2 linked regions of the Bombyx mori genome follow. The protein of the gene in region 1 interacts with the protein of each later gene in a pairwise test. Links are inferred from orthologs where the notes say so. Each region holds a gene or a part of one and is shown on either strand. Other genes may lie near its edges.

Evidence for each region.
Region 2: the proteins of protein prenyltransferase alpha subunit repeat-containing protein 1 (region 1) and geranylgeranyl transferase type-2 subunit beta interact in a two-hybrid assay, tested with the Drosophila melanogaster proteins (2 studies listed by BioGRID). The link is inferred for Bombyx mori from reciprocal best matches to the Drosophila melanogaster genes temp and RabGGTb.

What each region holds. Positions count from the first base shown.
Region 1 is NC_085127.1:9,749,420-9,758,662, reverse strand, and holds protein prenyltransferase alpha subunit repeat-containing protein 1, read right to left. Parts: upstream 5,854-9,243; 5' UTR 5,712-5,853; coding exon 5,635-5,711; intron 5,562-5,634; coding exon 5,167-5,561; intron 4,689-5,166; coding exon 3,823-4,688; 3' UTR 3,577-3,822; downstream 1-3,576.
Region 2 is NC_085123.1:2,130,212-2,138,093, reverse strand, and holds the end of geranylgeranyl transferase type-2 subunit beta, read right to left. Parts: coding exon 7,796-7,882; intron 7,597-7,795; coding exon 7,479-7,596; intron 7,385-7,478; coding exon 7,291-7,384; intron 6,712-7,290; coding exon 6,541-6,711; intron 4,984-6,540; coding exon 4,830-4,983; intron 3,251-4,829; coding exon 2,980-3,250; 3' UTR 2,912-2,979; downstream 1-2,911. Other genes in the region: glucose dehydrogenase [FAD, quinone], read right to left, coding at 1-80, 579-781, 1,386-1,530.

The sequences.
Region 1 (9,243 bases):
CGTTCCCTCACTACTGAGGATCGCTACCACATGCGAAGTACTTCCAATGTGCTCGATCATGGGTGGCATGGACTGCATGGTACAGACTACCACCGAGTGCTTCTCTTGCTAGATCTGACCATCTGGCTGGTGTTCTGCCCACGGCAAGCTTGCCCTCTATGCGACCCGTAATTATGAGCTTCTCTAATTCATGTCTGGGAGACCGCATGATGTGTACGAAGAAGCTCATAACACGTTCCCGGCAGATGGAAGAGAGCCTTTTTCGGATGTCTAGCTCCCTTAGAATGGACTCGTTTGTTCTCATGGCAGTCCACGGTATTCGTAGCATCCTAACTTTAACTTTCTAATAACGTACAAAAAATAACATATTTTTATTATATATTATATATTTTTTATAAATCATTGTAAATAAAATAAAGTTGATAACTTTGTAAGGTAGTTTTTTTTTTTATTCTATCCCTAGGACAGTGGTTCCGAAAATGGCGCATAGACATCAACCCAGCGAAAAGTACTGCGGTGCTATTTCAGAGGGGAAGCTCCACACAAGGGCGGATCCAGCTTTGGCGCCAGGAGGGTGTCACATAGTCGTGGGCATGTTAAGAACTTATAATTTAATTTTGATAACAATAGATAATAAATAAATCATGATGTTCTTCAATTAGTCCAAGTTAGTTCAAGTCCTGGAACTAGCTCAGGATTGAAATATTACTGGTGGCCCGGAGGCCTTTCCAGTTTCACCAGGACGGGTGAATGAGCGAAGGCTCAGCCAGGAGGAATGGGATTTGCTAACAACTGCCCGAGCGTCTCCGAAGGAGGCCTATCAACTCAAGAGCAGCTGCTTCGCGAATGAATCTACTACCGGATCGGAATCGCGACCCGCTGAGAAGATCCGGTGAAAAACTCAACGGGCTGATGCATGGGTTAGGTTGCACGTCGACCTCTTTGTCGAGTTCGACGAGTAAGTACGGTTACCGGGGTCCCTGACCCCGCTCCTAGTGTCAGACCTGAAGACGTCTAATGCAAAGGTTATTGGATCTGATGGATCCGTAAGGATAGATCCGTAGACACGTCTAAGGCGTCGACGGCGACTGGCTCCTGCATGATCAGGATTCGGGGAGTTGTCAGCGGCGGCAACGATAAGGCGATTATCATGACGCATAGCGAATGCGTTCCTTGTGGGTCGCAACGGAATGGAATATGTAGCTTTTTTTTATTTTATTTAAAAAAAAATCGCGAAGTGAACTATTGTATCAACATGGTATAAATGTTGCAATTTTACGCCTGCAATTCCATATTGTATCAATCGAACTTTCTCGACGGTTGGAACATACCTTACTTTTAACTGTTTAATTTGTACATATTTAGTGCTAGGTGTTTATATGAGTTCATAGACACAAGACATAAATTAAAATCAAGAACAGCTGAAAAACAGCAAACGCAGCAGCAGTAAATGGTACGACTAAGCAGTAATACCAACACGTCGAAAGATTGTGGAGAGTATGAAGCGGTAGGCAGAGGCTTGGCTCTGCCCCTGGCATTGCTCAAGTCCATGGGCGACGGTAAGCACTCACCGTCAGGTGGGCCGTATGCTCATCTGCCTACAAGAGCAATAAAAAAAATTTGCATTGGTAGGTCTACTGTCAAATCGACAAGACAAGTGCGATGGTGCTCAATATTTCAATAGAGCACAAGGACGTTGGCGATAGCATACAATGGCCGCCTCAACGTTTATAGCGTGACTTTTGTATTTTTTTTAGAATTAAATAGCCTAGTCACACTGCTCATGACCTAGTCCATGATAGGCATTTACCAAAGTCCATGACAACGTGAATGGCACGGTCTACCTTGAAATTTAAGGTCTAAGCCTCATTTTTGTTTTTTTTTTTTTTTTTGTTTTGATACCACCGTCTGCAGACGTCAACATTGACACATAACTATGCCTCCACTGCGCAATATTCTTCACAAACCTCATTTGAAGGTTGCCATCTCTCATGAAGTCTGCCATAGCACTCATTAAAGGCAGAACAATCGGAATAAACACGACCTCATATTGTCACAAAACATTCGTTACTCTAGGAAAAAAACATATTTTCGCTGCCCTTATTTGACGGGTTAAATCGACCATGCCAGGGTAAATTTTCAGAGATATAACGTTTTTTCGTTTTTTTTCCTTTCTAATTTTTATTTTTTATTTTTTTTTCGATTTTTTTATTTATATGTGTTGACGAGCTCACAGCCCACCTGGTGTTAAGTGGTTCCTGGAGCCCATAGATATCTACAACATAAACGCGCCACCCACCTTGAGATATAAGGTTTAAGGTCTCAGTATGGTTACAACGGCTGCCCCGCCCTTCAAACCGAAACGCATTACTGCTTCACGGCAGAAATAGACAGGACGGTGGTACCTACCCGCGCGAACTCACAAGAGGTCCTACCACCAGTAATTACGCAAATTATAATTTTGCAGGTTTGATTTTTATTACACGATGTCATTCCTTCACCGTGGAAGACAATCGTGAACATTTCTCAAGTACGTATTTATTCATTAGAAAAATTGGTACCCGCCTGCGGGATTCGAACACCGTTGCATCGCTACATACGTATGTAACGGACGTCTTATCCTTTAAGTCACGACGACTTAAAATTAATGCGATTTAGTTCCTAATTTAGTTCTTAATTTGGAAGGCAAAGCCAAGTTGGCGTCCAAAATCTTCGGATTCCTCAACAGAGCAAAGTGGTACTTCACGCCTGGACAAAGACTTTTGCTTTATAAAGCACAAGTCCGGCATCCCATTTCTGGGTCGGGGCTCCCAAATACCAGCTTCTTCCATTTGACTCCACACAGAAGAGAGCCTTTCGGATTGTCGAGACTCCCTTTCTCACAGATCGTTTGGAACCTCTGGGTCTGCGGAGGGACTTCGTTTCCCTCTCTATTTTGTACCGTATGCTCCATCTGCGGAATTGTTTGAAATAATACCTTCATCTCGTTTTTACCATCGCACCGCCCGCCTCCGGAGTAGAGTTCATCCATACTACCTGCAGCCACTGCGTTCATCCACAGTGCGTTTTTTGCGATCTTTTTTGCCACGTACCATCCGGCTTTGGAATGAGCTCCCCTCCACGGTGTTTCCCGAGCGCTATGACATACCCTTCTTCAAACGAGGCTTGTAAAAAGTACTTAACGGTAGGCAGCGGCTTGGCTCTGCAATTGGCATTCCTGAAGTCCATGGGCGACGGTAACCACTCACCACCGGGTGGGCCGCCTCGTCGGCCTATAAAAAAAAATTATAATAATCCAAAGTCCCAAATCAAATGCGCTTTGTAAGAAACAACATAAAACTACTCGGAGTATTTCTAAATTAGGACCATGACCAATATAAAGCGGATTGTGCGTCCACACGAGTATGTCCTGCCTATTTCTGCCGCGAAAGACATACGTTTCGTTTAATAGGAAGTAGCCATTTGATCCGAACCATTGGAGCCGTTATTTGAGTCTAATCAAGACTAAATCCATATTAATATCTCAAGGTGAGTGGGAGAGAGGAAGCTTGTCCAATGTTAAAAAAATCGGCATCATTTTAATTAAAATGTCTTTTAATATTGTGGTATACTTTTATAACATTATCTTATTTGATTAGATCATACAAAATCCTGTTTCAAAACTAGAATTACAATTTTCAAAAAAAATACCTGCAATTACAAATGTAAAAAGATTCCAAGCATTCAGCCTATAGCCTTGCTTGCTTGCCTAACTTGACTCCAGTTTAAGTACGGCATTTGTAATTGTTTAAACATAAATTCACACAAGAAACACAGAACTATTCATATAACAATATTTAATCCTTCAACAAATTTCAAGTATTTTTCATGTCTTTCTGCAAATTTATCTGAATCACTGTTTCTTTCTGCAATGAACTTTCTTTCATGCGAGATGAGCACTTTAAATATAGCACTAGAATAAACATGATTACAATCATATCTTACTATCTTCACTTGCTTTTGCCTTAAATCATTAGAATTACATTTCTTACAATTGTCTTTGACTAGAGCCCCATTCTGCTTCTTCAATCCGAAATATTCATACATGGAAATGATCAACTCATGAACGATGTACCGTCTATGGTACCATAGTGACTCATGCCACTTATAGAACTGTATCAATTCACTATTTAAAACTAATTCACGGAAAAGTACTTCAAATTTTCTACATAGATAAACATTATTATGTTTACAGTTACAATTTCTAGTATTTGAAAGGAGCAAATTTATTAACTTTTCTTCAGAGTACTCCATTAAATTATCGTCTGCGTTCAGTAAAGTCATATCATTCTGTAAAGCTTTTAACAAAACATTAACAAAACATTTACGTAAATCAATTTCAATGCTGTTTTGAAACATTTTCCAGAATACATCATTCAAATGTAAGATAACATTTTTTATGCAATATTGTCTATAGTGAAAACAACTAAAATCTGAAACATGTTTTGATGTCCATCTTTCCGAGAAATTATATTCTTTGATGTACAAGAGGTCCAAGCTAAAATTTGTAATTTTCTTTAATGTATTAAGCAGCCACATACGATGGTTCCAACTGTGATAATTATTAGGACTTTTATCCGAGGCAATTTGACAGAGATGAAACTCCTCATTAACAAGATTCTGGATATAGTTTGATTGGAGGTTTTCATCTGAAAATGAAGGCAATTCTTTAGTGTAGTTAGAAATAATACTTGTATTTTAAATTCAATATATTAAATTCAATGTGTCATAATTGTTTCTTTTATCTCTTTTCTGATTAAATTTATTTATTACAATCAAGAACTAGACATTTTATATCCATTTTACCTATTTTCTTATAATGTATTTATGTTTCAGCTATTATATTGCTATAATGGAAGATGAAAAATATCCAATTAAGCTAGAGTAAATCAATAAATATTATTGGAGTCAAGTATGATCTCAGAATGAACAAAAACAGGCTGAGATAACAATTAATTAAGCAATTCATAATTTCTTGTGTTTATGCCACGGACAGACAATGTACTGCCTAGTGTGCACTGTATCTTTTGTAATCTAATTTATAACTACGAGCTTTAACGTTCTGAAACATTAGTGTTTTAGGAAATTTAATAATTCAGTATCTACTAATTCATTTATTCACTATACCTTGTAATATAGCCTCGAGTAACCATCGTCTATACCCAAACGCCTCATTACATTTGGGTTTCCTTGACAATACTAATCTAGTCAATTTCAACTCTGAACTTTTTTCTAATAAATTTCTGAGTACCATATCACGCCTTTTGTTCCATAATGTATTAAGTTCTGGGTTCAGTAAAAGTGTTACACTCAATAATCGACCTAGTTTTTCCGAATGTATAGAGCCGAGTGTGCTGTTTCGACGTTTAGTTTTGCAGAAATATTTATCCATTAATTCTGAGTAGCAATACATGTACACATGCTTAACACACCACGACTCCAGCCCTAAGCAATTTTCTAAGTGAAGAACCGGAGTTTTATTGCGAAAATTACTATCCACTGGAACTATGTCGAAAGCGTACCTGAAAATATTTTACGTTTTAATATATTTAAATAAATTCCGATTATCTTTGAATTTGTGCCAAATATATTTACAACTCAGCGTTTTTCGATAAAACATTTTCAATATCTTTTATTATTTTTTCAACCAGCGCGAATTTATCCTCCTCCATTATTAATGCACACAATAACACGTAATTGAATTAATTGAATATGAATAAATACATAGGTAGGTATTGAAATATACAAATCGTTTTTTACTAGTTCATTGAAAGTTTAAACTCAAAACATCACATATGGGTATTATCTGTGCATGACGATCACAGCACAGACCTATCAGAAATTCGAAAACATTGTCAATGAGAAGGCTTACTGAATTTGGCCCCTCATTTTTGATTTTCGGTTTTATTTTTATTTTTAATTATTTGTTTGTCGTTTATTCGTTAATGTTCGAATGTAAAAATTGTTTGTTCGTTTTATTTATAATTAATTAAACAAATGATCATCCTTAAGTTGGCCCCTCATACTAGATATCTTTATTTTTATTGCTCAGATTAATTAATTTTGATTTATTATCGTTTGTTCGACGACTATTGGTGATTGTTCGCTCATAAAAATAATTAAATTCTCAATTATTAATTATTTTATATCTAATAAGCAAACAATCACCTCACGCCTACATTGCGCATGCGCCGATTTTCAGTCAACTGGCAAAATCGTATTTAATAGCGTTTTGTTAACAAGTGCATTTATACTGTCTAATATTTCTTATGTAGATCAAAAAAATATTGAAAACTTCAACAATACTTCAACAAAAATATGTCAGTGAAGACGGTCAATTAGTCGTTAAAGTATGATTAGCGCGGTCTTAATAAATTCAGTTATTTTTAATGATATTGAATATTAACAAGCATCAGTGGCGTACCTAGGGGGGGGCGGTGGGTGCGGTCCGCACCGGGCGGCACTTACCCTGGGGCGGCATTTTAGCATTTACTTTTAGTTGTTTAAAACAATTTATTCATTTCATATTTATTTTCTTTCTTGAATAATAAATGATTATTATGATTATTATAAGTTTAATATTTGATTTATATAAATTATGATTAACTATATGATTTCGAATATTATTCATCGGTGTATATAAATGCATATTAGTGTAAATTTTGAATGCTAATTCAAGAACAAGGTAATAATTTGATTTTATTGTATTAATAAAAATTCTTTGAATTCGTAAAAGTATCTTTTCGATTTTGTTCGGCAATTTTTCCTAACTAAAATTTTTTAATATCAGTTTATAAATGTCATTTCGTTTGAAAAGTTTATATGATTACTTTGAAGTAATATATCAATATTTTTTTATTCATCGATTTTTCTTTTGAAAAACAGGGCCGGCGGAAGGTGCTCTGCTAGGTCTGCAAGGCATTAGGGCGCCGGCATAAGAACTATCTTTTTCAAACAACAAAATCTAAACGAGATAAAACTAAAATACTGACGAAGTTACAATTTCAGAACTCGCAAATAGATAAATATTCTCAGTCCGTTTTGAAGAATTGTATTTGGATTGATAAATTGCTTAAAAACCATTTTGTTCATTAGCGATTCAATCTTTTAACAGTGAAGAGTGAAACAAATTATTAGGGTGCAAGTGCATTTGGGGAATTTATAATTGTTAAGCATATTGTATTACGTATTGTAGATATAGATGTTATTCAGCGAAGTAAAATAGCTTTGCCGTTTTCTATAAATAATATACTATTTATTTCGGCAAGTTATATTTTTATTATATATCCCTAGGATGAAACGAGTAAAAGAAAGCGGTGCGTCATTTAGAAAGAAAAGAAAGAAAAGGGAGGAAATACAGATTAAAAACACTGGAGCACTACTCAAATACATCTCTCATAAGCCAACTTCTAGTTCTTTTAGTATTGTTGCCTTAAAAACGGGTGAAGAAGCAGCGCTCGAAGGCGAAAAAACATTATCCAATGTTGTTCAAGAGGAAAGACCTGCTTCACACACTGGCGAAGAAGTAGAAAGTTTATCAAGTCCTGATGAAGAATCTGCTGCACAAATTATTCTGTCTGTTTCTATGAAAGATATTGGATTATGGCCTAACAAAATTGACGACAATACAAGAGTAATTCTGGTACATCAAGGTCCCTTTTTAATTCAAAATTTAGACGCCGACTTCAGCGAAGGATTAAAACGTTCTAATAATACAAGCAAAGCCAAAGGTGAAACAAGAAAACTGAGTCGGGACTGGTTTTTTCAAATTTAGCCTAATGGCGAAAAGCTCTTAAGATCGTATATTACCATCGAAGAAAAGTATTTATTGTTTCTGCTGCAAACTGTTTGATAATCTTTGTCAAGCAGGTTTTAATACGGAAAATGGTTTTAACAAATGGTGGAAACTTAATCCTAAAATTAGTCAACATGTGGTTAGTTCGCTGCACATCCGATCATATTACAAATGGAAGGGATTAGAAATAAGACTTGGAAGTGGAGCAACTATTGACAAACTACAACAACAGAATATTGATAAAGAAATAAAAAAATGGAAGGAAATTCTAACAAGAATACTTGATATAATTAGATTCTTAGCAAAACAAAATTTGGCATTTCGAGGACATCGTGAAAGTGTTCATCAGGAAAACATCGATTTACTGGAAAATAGAGGAAATTTTCTCGAGGTTGTTGACTTATTGGCTAAGTACGACCCAGTATTACGAGAACATGTAGTAAAAATTAAGATGGGTAATAAATATAGTCTCTCTTATTTGTCGCCGAAGATTCAGAACGAATTCATAGAGCTATTGAGAGGCGCAGTCAGAAAAACAATTATGGATCAAATAAAGCAGGCTAAATACTTTTGTATTATATTTGATAGCACTCCTGACATTTCACACAAAGATCAAACCAGTCAAATTATTAGATATGTAGTTATTGAAGGTAGCAAAGTTAAAGTTTAGTTAGTTTTAGAATCGTTTATTGACTTTGTAGAAACTAAAGGAAAAACTGCTGTTGAAATCACAGATATAATTTTAACGAAATTAGAAAATGACGGTTTAGACATAAAAAATTGCAGAGGACAGGCTTACGATAATGCTGCCGTCATGGCAGGAAAGCACAGCGGTGTTCAAACTCGCATTAAAGAAATATGTAAATCCAAATGCAGAATTTGTAGCATGTATAAATCATTCCTTTTAAACCTATTTTTTTTTTTTTTTTGTCAGGAGGAAATCGCTGGACATCCGCCCTTCACTGGGGATGGAGGGCGGGGCATGTCGGAGTCGAACCGACTAAAACCTCCTGTCTCTCAACAACCAACGTCCAAACCTCGCATGAGACAAAACTCATGAAAAGGCAAGGGGGGGAAAGTGAAGCGTTTAGTGCGGAGCACATCTCTCCCATCACCCTCCCCCTCGGGACGCCGGACTGGCGGTCGTCGGCGCCACGACCACCAGCCCTCTCGGTCGGCAGGCTATCCGAAGCCCGCCTAGATGGCACCGGTTAGAATGGTCTATCCTACGGAATGCCCCGCTGGGTCAGAACCAGCGTGGGTTAGGATAGCGTTGAGGATAGCCGGCCTTCCATCACCCGGATGCTCATGCATAAAACGCGTGCAGAGCAGCTTGCACGTCGTCTTCTTAGGCCCCCTTCGCCGGTCCCCAGGCCGACATGTGAGGGAGACCCGAAACACTTAGAGGG
Region 2 (7,882 bases), on another chromosome or scaffold:
GAAATGTTGCCTCGGACATGTACCATGTTATTTAATTTGGATGATCCCCCAACTATTTTGCCTTGAGGGAGTCTGCATTTCTGAGAACAAAATGTTTGTTTGCAGTTGTTGATATTTTATTAATTGAATGCTCCAGCACAAGATTGAGTTTAATTACCTAGTTTGCAAATAAAATATATGCAATTGTACTGTCAAATAAAAAATAGTTATGGTGCATTAGTAATATTGTTTATAATTAATCTATATTTAATCTAATGGTGGTAGGACCTCTTGTGAGTCCAGGCGGGTAAGTACCACCACCCTGCCTATTTCTGCCGTGACGCAGTAATGCGTTTTGGTTTGAAGGGTAGGGCAGCCGTTGTAACTATACTGAGATCTTAGAACTTATATCTCAAGGTGGGCGCATTTACGTTGTAGATGTCTATGGGCTACAGTAATCACTTAACACCAGGTGGGCTGTGAGCTCGACCATCCATATAAGCAATAAAAAAAATATTACATATTTATATTTTTTTTGTGACTTTCAAATTATCAGTATTACATTTCTAATTATATAATACTTTGGAGAGCATTCTTACATGGTCAACCATGCCCCAGCAAGCATTTTCCTGTGGTGATGTTTCATAGTTCCAATCATAAACCGATTTATGTAGAAAGGGACTAAGAACAGGAATATCCAGTAAACCATGACCCTTGCTTCCTGCTTCCAATACTATATATGTGTAGTTAGTCTCTGTGGCTATGCGATGTGCTATTATGGAGCCAGCTGTGCCAGATCCAACTGCAATATTCAAGAGTAAGTTATTATTATTCTTTTTATTGGCTTTGTAGGGAGATGAGCATATGGCTAACCTGATGGTGAGTGGTTACCGTCGCCTATGGACTTCAGCAATGCCAGGAGCATAGCCAAGCTGCTGCCTACCGTTTAATACTCTCCACAAGCTTTATTTGAAGAAGAACATATCATAATGCTCAAACACTATGGAGGAGAGCTCATTCTAAAGCCAGATGGTACGTGACAAAGAAGATCTCTGGAAACGCACTGTGGATGAACACGGTGGCTCCAGGTAGCTGTTTGTGATTATTGTTTTTTTATTTTTTATTTTACTCAGTAACATTACTCAGCTATATAGTTTAATTAGCTTTAATCAGAGCTCGATTATATTTAATTATATACTAACAAACAAAAATTTTTTCTCAAGAATGAACCTCAATTTATTAATCGTTTGATTTCATTATTTTTTTTAAGTTAAAAACATATACTTATTAAGTTTAATGCTCGCTGGTATATGTTTTAACCAGAAGGAAAATAAACTAGAGCAGGTATGGGGTTGAGCTGATAAGTAGTAGGACAAAATATAAAGAAATACGAGAAATTCACTTACCAATAATATAATCATATTCCGTTTCAACTGTTTTTAGATAAATTGATGCGAAAATATCGCTATAGTAAATTATATATGTGAACAATGTGACTATATGAACACACACGCTAAATATGAAAAATTGTACACAGTATGAAAAGTTCATTTTAATATTGGTGCTTATTTTAAATACGTTCTAATCATTATAAAGTTCATTTTGAAATAGGTAGGTATTTTGCTGAATTTAATTTAAAGGTTATGTTTACAATTTAAACTGGTTATGACAAGCCATTCAACGACGAGTTTTTTATTTATACAGCCAAGTTAGTATTTAGTTCATTCCATTCTACTTACGAAATCAGATGAACCTATTTGCAGGAACACGAACAGTGAACTGTTTCATTATGTCCATTTGTTGTGTTTCTTTAACTTTAAACGAATAATAATGTCAAAAGGCAGCGGCTTGGTTTTGCCCCTGTTATTGCTGATGTTAACTAGTGACTGTGATTACTTACAGTCTATCAAAGCAGTTAACCGCTCAGCATCTGTGCGGTAGACTTTCACAAGTTTGCGAAAAAGAAACAAAATTTCCGAACGAGGCTCCTCGTGTTCTTTCAAAAAGTCTATTGAAGTCAAGAAATTCCCAACATATTACTGAGATATCTTGGTCACGTCATCGCATTTCGTTTCAATCAATTCAGTTCCCTTTTCATAGAACAAAGTATGTATTCATAAATATTTATTTAGTTTCGACAGTGGGCATCGCAAGAAGCCGATAGTAATATTTTAGATATATAAAAAATTGGAGTGTCAACCATAGGCAATGGGTATCCAGTATTGATTGTCGGACATCAGTTCTTTCAGGCGTTTCAGACAACTGCTGAGAATATTTTCAAACTTTCTTTAAAGCAGGTTGTATACTTTTTTTGGGATTGAAGGATTACTAGTGGCCCGGAGCCTTCTCCAGTTTCACCGGGACAGGTGGGCGGGCACGAGCTCAACTAGGAGAGGTGGGATTTGCTAACAACTCAAGAGCAGCTGCTTCGCGAATGAATCTACTACCGTATAAGAATCGCGACCCGCTGAAAAGATTCGGTTTATTCCGAGAAGACTCCGGTTAGGTTGCGACGAGTACGGTTACCGGGGTCCCTAAGCCTGCTCCTAGTGAATGGATCTGATGGATCCGTAAGGACGTGTCTGAGGCCCAGGATGTATGCTCTTGGGTAATATGGAAGGGGAAGTGCATCCTAGAGCCCAGCCTAGAGCCGAGTTAACCGAGTCAAGTACATAAATCATGTTACAAGAAGTTACTTTGTTATGAAATGTTTTGTTTGGATAGCGTTAGCCTAGCATTTACTTTTCTAATAATTGACTAAACTAGCATGTAGTGTCATTAACTATTTAGGTACCAGACTACTGCCACTATGTAAAATATTGACATACAAATTGAATATCGATTTTCTAAGCTCAAACAATCATGTTATTGTTATGAACCATATAGACACTTCGCTACGAACAATAGCTTTATAAATAACACAATATCCCAATAAATTAAATAACATAGTTTATTCACGTCAAATGTAAACATACAATAAAAAAACATTTATCCTTAAAATTAAATTTGCAGTATCTGTGGTTTTAGTTTCAGCCTGTCTATTGTTTCCTGTGGCATGCAGTATGTGGGGTTAACAGGTTTTATACTGGTGTTGCCTAGTAATGAAAGGCCTGCCAGACCAAACAATGTATGGAATGGGTCTGTGATGTCTCCGGGCCTGTCACTAAAGCCACCAGTTTCATTATCTTGACATGCTAAGATAAATTCTTCTAAGCTTTTCTTGTCTACCCAGTGAATTCTATTCAGCATTGAAAGTGAAGACATGACCCACCTGTAATTTTAAAATTATGTGATCATTCCGATAGTTTTACAATCATTTTTTTATGGCAGTCGCTACAGTTGGTGGTACACACTTACTGGTGGTAGGACCTCCTGCGAGTCTGCGCGGGTGAGTACCACCACCCTGCCTGTTTCTTCCGTGAAGCAGTAATGCGTTTCGGTTTAAAGGGTGGGGCAGCCGTTGTTTTTTTTTTATTTTTTATTGCTTTGGTGGGTGTACGAGCTCACAGCCCACCTGATATTAAGTGGTTACTGGAGCCCATAGACATCTACAACGTAAATGCGCCACCCACCTTGAGATATAAGTTCTAAGGTCTCAGTATAGTTACAACGGCTGCCCCACCCTTCAAACCGAAACGCATTACTGCTTCACGGCAGAAATAGGCGGGGCGGTGGTACCTACCCGTGCGGACTCACAACAGGTCCTACCACCAGGTTTTACGCAAATTATAATTTTGCGGGTTTGATTTTTATTACACAATGTCATTCCTTCACCATGGAAGTCAATCGTGAACAATTGTTAATCGTATTTCATTAGAAAAATTGGTACCCGCCTGCGGGATTCGAACATCGGTATAGTAAGCGGCACGTAAGTTGGCAAGGTTTTGGTGTAGTGGGGGTAATGTCGCGCATAGTGCACATTGCAACAAAAAATGGTTTATTGCCGCATATAATTTAATTTTATTTTATTGTTTATTTGCCATAACTTATTTTTAAGCCTGTGTATTTTGAAGAAAGTTAAAGAAAAGAGAGGAATTCGTGAAGTGTATTAGGCGTTATAAATAAAATAGAATTAAAAGTTAAGAAGTTTATTTTAAAAAATATATTTAATATTCAAAATTATGTGTCGCCGCGGCGTCGTCACTATCATTTTCTAATAGTGCTACCCCTTGGATTAAATTTATGGTAGCACCTGAGCTGGTGAAAGGAGTTGGCTCCTCATCGTCGACATAACGAAGAGTCGCTGTCGTCACTGGCGTAAATAATAAAACGCTCAGTGACTGAATCTACTATATGGTCATTGGTGCGGGAGGGGAGCGTCGACTGACTCACCAATCGCGCGCTCGGAACGGTGCTACGTCTTTCCCCGCGTCCCGCTTGACAACCAAAGAGACCTAAAAAACGACTTCTGCGCATCTAACGAATCTTGCCAAGTTACGTGCCGGGGACTATACATCGGTAGATCCGAACCCTTTTACAACAGTTTTAAGATATAAGTTTCCCATAATTTATACAAAAATTAATACATATTTATAGACCTGAAGCTTTTTACTGGAGGTAGGTCGTCTTGTGAGCTTAGATAGCCACCGATAAGTACTACCAACCTGTCCAAGGTTGGGAAACTCATCACATTCAAAGTAGGTGGCGACATTTACGTTGCTGATATCTATTGGCTCCCGTAATCCCTCAACGCTAGGTTGTTCGTGAATTAATCTGAGCAATAAAAAAAAAGTTGCTCCACATCTATGGGCGGCAATAACCACTTTAACCTAGGTGAGCCAGTTCAACAATCTGAGAAGTAAAAACATATAGTCTCTATATAAAAACATTATAGTGAAAAGAGTTCTCACCAAGAGTAGCACAAATCTGGCAGCTTTTCCGGTCGACCATTCAGACCACCACTGGGCAGCTGTCGTTCACATAGCCACCACGCCAGCTCGTCTGCGTGTAGGGCATCCATGCGCTTGCATATCGACAGTGTACCCACACAGCAGTAAATTAGACCTGCAGAAATTTAAATGGAATTACTAGTTTTTGAAAAAAAAAACACTTTTCGAATTACTCATATACACGTACTCGTATCCACGAAATAATAATTACCATAAATTTTACAGGTAAAAAATTTGCTAGACCGGACGTCCAAAATTTGTTTGGAGCTTGTAAAATACATTCAAGCATTTTTTAAATATCTTGTTTTATATTAAGATGGCTAGTCTACAGAATTTTATTAATAACTAGCTGACCCGGCAAACGTTGTGTTGCCTTAAATAAGATTTCTAGAGAAATTCTACTGTAGAAAAAAAACCTCATTTAACCACATAATACCTCATTATAAACAAAAAAAAAATCCAAAAAATTAAAATAAAAAGTAAATGTTTGGGGTGGACAACCCTTTTCACTTAGGGGTATGAAAAATAGATAGTAGCCGATTCTCAGATCTACTGAACATACTATTGATACACAAATAAAACCAAAAAAACACGGCTGAAAAATGTATAGTATTGTGTATATAGCTCTTAAATATATTAAGTGTATAAATCTATGATGTATAGTGAGTAAGTAAGACAGGAGACCGGCTTCGTCCTCATCCCTACTACGTGATGTTTGCTGGATGAGTGGTGACACCTGGCGGGGATAGCTGATCGATTGATAGTTGATCAGTAGTCGACCGGCGAGGGCGGGAGATCAAATTGAATTTAAAAAAAATCATAATTGAAGAACTTGAAATTATAAACTCTGAATAAGAATTTATCGTACTACAATTATAATATTTGATTGCCATCTTGCAAACTTATTGCAGATCTGTGCATAGAATAAAAAAAAAATTAATCGGGATGGAAAAATAGGGGTTGATTGTATAAGAGTGAAAATTGACAGTAATATGATTTTTTTTTATTTTAAGTAATGACAAAACAAAATAAAAAACTTGACAAAAAAATTAAAGTTTATAATTAACAAATAAAAAAAGGGGTTGATCATAGAGGGATGAAAAATTGAGAGTAACATCAGATTTTTTATTTTAATTCATGACAAAATAAAAATAAAAATGAAAATCTTGCCAAAAAAATTAAAGTTAACAGATAAAAAATAGGGGTTGATCGTAGAGGGGTGAAAATTTCAGAGTAATATGAATTTTATTATTCTACGTCATGACAAAATAAAAACAAAATTCTCGCAAAAAAATTTAAAGTTTTTAATTAGCAAATAAAAAATTAGGGTTGATCGTAGAAGGGTGAAAATTGAGGATTGTATGTATTTTTGTATGTTGTATCATAAAAAAATAGAAATTAAAAATTTTGAATAAAAAATAAAAAAAATATTTAGGGGTGGACTACCCCTAACATTTAGGGGGATGAAAAATAGATGTTGGCTGATTCTCATAGATACCGGATAAGCACAAAAAATTTCATCAAAATCGGTCAAGCCGTTTCGGAGGAGTATGGCAACGAAAACTGTGACACGAGAATTTTATATATTAGATATTGAGAAAGATATGAATTTAATTTCAGAACTAAAATTATTTCTCAAAATGTACCAAATAAATAATCCGAAATTACTTACCAGCATGGCTTTCCGATCCAGGTTTGGAACCGAATCCACCATCAAAGTTCATGCAACTGAGCACAAACTCCACAGTCTTGTTGATGTCGATGGCATCCAATCGTTGTAAGAGTGATAGACACATTACCGCACAGAAAGAGAACCTAGTGTCTATTTCACCCCATTTGTCTCCTTTAAGCAACATAAAATAATTTGAATAATTTGGGTAGGTATTTAATCTAGCATTCTCTACTGTTTTCATGACTCATAGACATAATTAACCTTCTTTTTAGACTTTAATTTAACATTAAAGTTTAAATAGTATACTGGGATTATTTATATTCCGACTTTTCAAATATTTTACAGAAAAGTGTACTTATGTCTTTCTGTTTGAAAGTACATGTAAATATCAATATGCAATTATTATATAAGTTGAAATTTAGCACATTATTTAAATGTCCATGAATAACAGCTTAATAATGAAAATAACAAATGATTAGATTAAAATGTAAAAATATTTTTTAATTAGGAATATAATGTTTCGCAACACATTGCAAAGAATATTGTTGTTTTAATTTAATATACTATAACCAAATGCTCTTTGGATTTATTAAGTAAATTAATGTTTTCTTTAAAAAAAAGTAAATAGTAATGTTTGTATTTTATGACAAATATTCATTCATTTTAATGTAGTATGATATGAATAGTCAACAAATTTTAGATTATATTCTGATTTATTTATGAGAAGCAAGTGAAGATAATAATATTTACCATAAAAACTACCATCTTCTTGCTGTAAGGAAACTATGTATCTGACAATTCCTTCAATATCAACAGCATCTAATCTATCATACATCGCCAGTACCTGTTAACAAATAAAAGTAATGACAAACAAAATAAAAATATTACGTAACTTTATTCAAATTTTAAAATGATTTTCTGGTTGTTTCATGTTCTACCTGTACAGCACTTAATGTGTATAGTATGTGTGGATCATGTCCGATGCTAGCCGAGATACCTCCACTTTCACTATCTTGGCATTGTGTAATGAATTCTATTATATCTTCTTTAGGCATCCTGGAACAAAATTCCAGGTTTTACAACGCTTGTAGGACTCTCAAAGGCGACTTTCACTTTATTTTTATACAAGAATTAATTTTTAACCATGTTCATTGTTCAAATTTTACAAGGTTTATGTTGATTTAAGGTTGATATAATAATATGATTGATTGAGGTTAATAACGGGTAAAAATCATAATATAAATACTTTTGATACCTTGATGATTGTCCCATGAGTTCCATAGCAGTTAAACTCCAGTAAATACCGGACATTCTTAGATATTCGGTCATACAATACTCGTAG